Kluyveromyces lactis: one gene and its partner. The protein of the gene in region 1 binds, or shares a complex with, the protein of each later gene. Links are inferred from orthologs where the notes say so. Each region holds a gene or a part of one and is shown in the gene's direction. Other genes may lie near its edges.

Region 1 (2,476 bases):
TTGTGCTTGTAAGAATGGTGGGATAACCAACTTCTGAATCTTAGTTGGCTTAGAAATCTTCATCTTGACGTTTAAGTGTGAAACCATCGTGTCAGTGATACCGAACGAATCGAAGGTGTCACCAACCAATGGTGCATTGGAATAAGTCACTTCGGCTTTTTCATCATGAGCATTACTATTGGTAACTGTGTCAATATTTCTACTGGACGTGAACAAAGAGGAAACGATTTGCGAGTTTAGCTGTAATGGTTGCGTTACCCTAGCTGGTTGTTCTACATTAGAACTGTTATCAAATCTTGATCTCTTAGGTTCTACAGGTGCCTGTGCCGAAGTTGAATTCGAAGAGGAGGCTTCCAATTCTTCAAAAGTTGGTGCTCCATCAGATTCTAATGGTCTCTTTTCACCCCTGACCCTCGGTTTACGACCTTCCATCATCATTTTGGCCTTTCTCCTGTCCTTCCATTTACCACCGGTAATTTTACCTCTACTGACTGTTTCACTAGCATCACTAACGTCAGTTGTAAAATTTAACAGCATTCCATCATCGTCATCATTGAAACTCATCTTTACCTACTTGATGATCGTTGATATGGGCTGCTGAGCGACGTACAGAGACTTTCACTTCATCTAATGTCAGCTCATCGCACAGTTAAGTCCTACTTCCATATTAAAATTTTCTATGCTTGATGTCAAGAAAAAGCAATACAAAGGTAAATACTCACAGAATTGGATAAAATACAGTTAGATTGGCGACTATCAGGATCGTTTGAACTGGACATTTGACACTGTAGTGGTTCGTGCTATGTACAGGTCATGTTATGTGCTGAAATTGATATCTCTTTGGTTTCATTACTGATTCAATTCTACAAACCTTGTCTGAAGTTTAATGTTAAAGCATATTATATACACGTAGAAAGGCAGATGGACAGAGACAAAAGTCGCTTATGACAAATATTAATAAGGTGGTGATGAAATACTCGCCCAGCCGGTATGGAACCAGTTGGAAGGTGATAAACCATCCTTTTACAGACGCTTCTCTCTTCTTGTTTCAATGATCACAAGACACGGCTCATCGCATCGATTGAAATTTTGACATTTCGGATGAGAAGGCTCACTCATTAGTACAACTAATGAGTGTTGAACCACTTGTACAACCAACTATTGTCCTGTTTCTATCCAGGTATCTGTAAGAGGGTGTCAGTGGTCTCAAAATGTCTAATGGTTTGTTTGTTACCGATGAGGACGGTGATACTGAGATGAATGGGAACGGTAAACTCGATAAGAAGCTCCAATCATCAGAGATTCTTAAAGAAGACGATCCAGTAGTGAATGAAATACCCATTAATTTAACGGTTGGACCTTGTCCATTGCATGTGTTACAGTTTCCTAACAAACCTAAAAGACTGGCGAAGAATATGGATGAACATCCTCCAATTGCTGGTGTACGCTATAAGGATGAATCAAGCGTTTGGGAGATAGATATCCCATTGAATACACAGGTCTTCTTCGACAAAGAAAAAGCTGCTGAGTCTTGGAACAATGTCGACGTTCAAACTTTGAAAGGTGTGGCTGTAAGCAACGACATGTTGCAATACGCAGGCGTTATGAAACAAGGACAGCTATATTTAATACCAGTAGAGAAAGTTGCCCAAATGAGACCATACTTCCGTTACATCGATTCGCATCAACAGGTTAAGAAGGACGAGGATGCCAAGGCGAAACCTGCGAATCCAACTGCCAAGAAAAACCAGGTAATAACAATGTCAGTGAAGAGTAGCAGCGAAGCGAATCAAAATAGACTAGGAGGTGCATTGCTAGCTCATAAGGTAGCAGACGAAGAGGAATTCAAACCTTTGGAATGGAAGGACGATACTTTCGAATCGTTTGTAGAAGAAGTTACAAGTGAAAAAAGTACTGTACCATTAAAACCAATGGACAACGACGCTGTGTATCTATCAAAACTATTTTAATTAATTATCGTATTTAGTAAGTATAAATATATATTAAACCGAGAAGGGATCAAATTCTCCTTAATCATACCACATCTTAATCAACTCCTCAGAAACAGCACTAGGTGTCAACCCTCCAAGATCAGTGATCAAAGCTGTGATGTATTCTTGACTTGTAAAGTCGACAGAAGGCCCACTCAATGGTTCTTCATCGTCTTCTATACCGTTTTTGCTAAAATCTAATGGATCTCTTTCCATTGGAATATCATCTGACGAAAGAGGGAACATACGTACGAACTTATGCGACTCACTAACCACATAGAATGGTTTCCTTGCATTCTTCGCCAAGACACCGATAGAATACGTTCCTACTAGATTGATAATACCTCCAGATTCAGCAACACCTTCGGCTCCCACAAAGATCTTGTTTACCTTATGGATGATCGTACCAACAGCATTATCTACAATCATTGTCACTGGGATACCCTTCTTTTTAAGTAAATGATACAGTTGCAACCCTTGGCCAG
Region 2 (2,688 bases), about 680 kb from region 1:
CTGCTACACCTTCAAGCACATTTGGTTTCCATAACAGATCATCGAGGGTAAAACTAGAAACTAACAGCATCGATGACCTTCATAGTATCTCTTCTACTGGGAATGGTGAAGTGAACTTCAAATTCAATTCAAAGAGTTTTTCCAAAGATCTGTCTGAACGAAAGCCAGGACTTTTCTTGAACGAATATATCGAAGAAGTTTATCACGCTTATTTGAAACAGGCTCCAAACTCCTCATCAACGTTCATGAAGTTTGGGAGGCGGATCCCCGAGACTTTGTTCATCAGAGACTCAACTAGACCCGTGATACAAATCAAGAGTGGATGCATTCTCACGGTCAACCATTGGAAAGAGGGGTCCACAGGGGAAACTATTGCATTTTCCACATATCTCCCACCCCCTACATATACGGCAAACGACTTGATCGATAACTACCATACTTATGAATCATTAGAAAGACATCTCCCGATATGGCTTGGAAAGATTCTTTTCAAAGAGGATAAAGTCATTAAGACGTACCCAAAAATCACATTCATCATCCAGCCTTGGAAGGACGAGGCTCATTTATCGGAGGAAACGCAACAATCGCCAGAGGCTGAAAGACTAGTAGTAGAACATAAAAGATCAGGGTTCCACAAAAAATCTAAACCACCTGAATCACCCTTAATGCTACCGAAGATTAACGATAGCAATGTTAGATTAACAGCTGCAAATATGATAAAGGCAAAAAAGATCAAGACTTACATAGTGGATAGATTCGAATCAAAGACACCTGAGATGAAAAACAAAGAAGATCCAAGCGAATGGTTAGAAATCTTGTGCAAAGGAACAGTACTAGAAAACGATATCACCCTGAGTGCTATACGCACTTTATACTGGAAATCAAACACAGACATTGTTCTTGAATATAGACGTAAACCGACTTAAAATTAAGAGAGACTGTGAGACTAAGTTCTCACCCAGGCTTATCAATATATATATATATAACTAAATATAGACATATATACAAACATAGAACTACACCTGCCGCCCTTGACTCAGAGCATTCCATACCAACACAAGACAGGCACGTGACTGAAATCATGAAGGACGAGTTTGATGGTTTGGCTCTGTTTCCTTCTTTCATCGCATTGAAATTTCGAAGGTTTGTTGAAGTTTTTCTTTTTCTTTTCAGCCAAAATTTTCCAAAATTTAGAAAGCGATGAGAAACAAATCCATTAATTTGTTGATTGAAATTTAAGAAAAGATTGAAGTTAGGTAGCCGAATAGTCCTTGTACCGGTTGAAATTAAGGGGTAAGATTAGTTTGCATATCGATAATTGAGTTCTTAGTACTTGTTTGTGCATATCGATAATTGAGTTCTTAGTACTTGTTTGTGCATTTTAGAATTTAATACGAACTAATCTTCAAGCGGAAAAAGTTAGTTTCATAAGATATCAAAGGCAAGTGACGCACAATTTTTGTAACAATGGATCAAGAGCAGGAGAGAAACATTTCCAGGCTATGGAGAGCTTTTAAAACGGTGAAGGAAATGGTTAGGGACCGTGGATATTTCATTACCCAGGAGGAAATAGATTTGAGTTTAGAAGATTTTAAGGCTAAATACTGTGATTCTATGGGCAAGCCACAACGTAAGATGATGTCTTTCCAGTCCAATCCAACCGAAGAATCAATAGAAAAATTTCCTGAGATGGGTTCATTATGGGTGGAATTCTGTGATGAAGCATCTGTTGGTGTGAAGACGATGAAGAATTTTGTGGTTCATATTACGGAAAAGAACTTCCAAACTGGTATATTCATCTATCAAAGTGGTATTACTCCAAGTGCAAACAAGATTTTACCAACTGCAGCACCAGCAGTCATCGAGACTTTCCCAGAAGCATCTTTGGTTGTCAATATTACACATCACGAACTAGTCCCAAAGCATATCAGGTTAAGTGAGGCTGAAAAGAAGGAATTATTAAAAAGATATAGATTAAAGGAATCTCAATTGCCTAGAATCCAAAGAATGGACCCAGTAGCATTATACCTTGGTTTGAAAAGAGGCGAGGTTATAAAAATTATTAGAAAGTCTGAAACTTCTGGACGTTACGCAAGTTACAGAATCTGTTTATAAGAGCAATTAAAAAGAGCCATTCCCCAACCCTAAGTAAAGTAAATGCGTGTGTATAATAATAGACCAAATTAGAGCAAGAGAAACTAATAGGGCCTTAAACACACTCTTCGTATGAGAACCCATCAGGGGATATCATAATCTAATTACGATTCTTTTTTCAATTATTTAAGGAAATGATTAATCACGTTTTGAACATAGCATGTCTGAATTAAGAGAGTTCATTGATATAAGAATTCGAATTTTTAGGAAAACAGGTAAAGATCAGGAATGGCTCACAAGACGTGAACATAACACGCTATCCCTTGTTCCCTTCCACCAGGAGATATCTTTCAAATTAATTTCAATAAGAGGAGACACTTCAACACCCTCACTACCCAAGAAGGTGGCACCAACGGTGATGACCAGGGCATCGATAAGGTGTGGTCTCTGTAGCAAATCATTGATAACAATCCCACCACCTTCAACCATGATGGATTTTAATCCGAATTGAGATTTCAATTGGATGAACAAATCGTGCCAGTCCACTTTACCTGTAAAATTAGTTTGCATCACTAAATAGTCAACGTTCTCTTC

What was found.
Region 2: RPC37 (region 1) and RPB5 share a complex: the UniProt entries of both Saccharomyces cerevisiae proteins name them as parts of the RNA polymerase III (Pol III) complex. The link is inferred for Kluyveromyces lactis from reciprocal best matches to the Saccharomyces cerevisiae genes RPC37 and RPB5.

Annotation. Positions count from the first base shown.
Region 1 is NC_006042.1:1,291,665-1,294,140, forward strand, and holds RPC37 (DNA-directed RNA polymerase III subunit C37), read left to right. Parts: upstream 1-1,211; coding exon 1,212-1,970; downstream 1,971-2,476. Other genes in the region: DBP7 (putative ATP-dependent RNA helicase), read right to left, coding at 1-564; GCN3 (translation initiation factor eIF2B subunit alpha), read right to left, coding at 2,031-2,476. UniProt on the Saccharomyces cerevisiae protein: DNA-dependent RNA polymerase catalyzes the transcription of DNA into RNA using the four ribonucleoside triphosphates as substrates. Specific peripheric component of RNA polymerase III which synthesizes small RNAs, such as 5S rRNA and tRNAs.
Region 2 is NC_006042.1:1,968,111-1,970,798, forward strand, and holds RPB5 (DNA-directed RNA polymerase core subunit RPB5), read left to right. Parts: upstream 1-1,467; coding exon 1,468-2,115; downstream 2,116-2,688. Other genes in the region: DUF1 (Duf1p), read left to right, coding at 1-926; RIB7 (2,5-diamino-6-(ribosylamino)-4(3H)-pyrimidinone 5'-phosphate reductase), read right to left, coding at 2,377-2,688. UniProt on the Saccharomyces cerevisiae protein: DNA-dependent RNA polymerases catalyze the transcription of DNA into RNA using the four ribonucleoside triphosphates as substrates.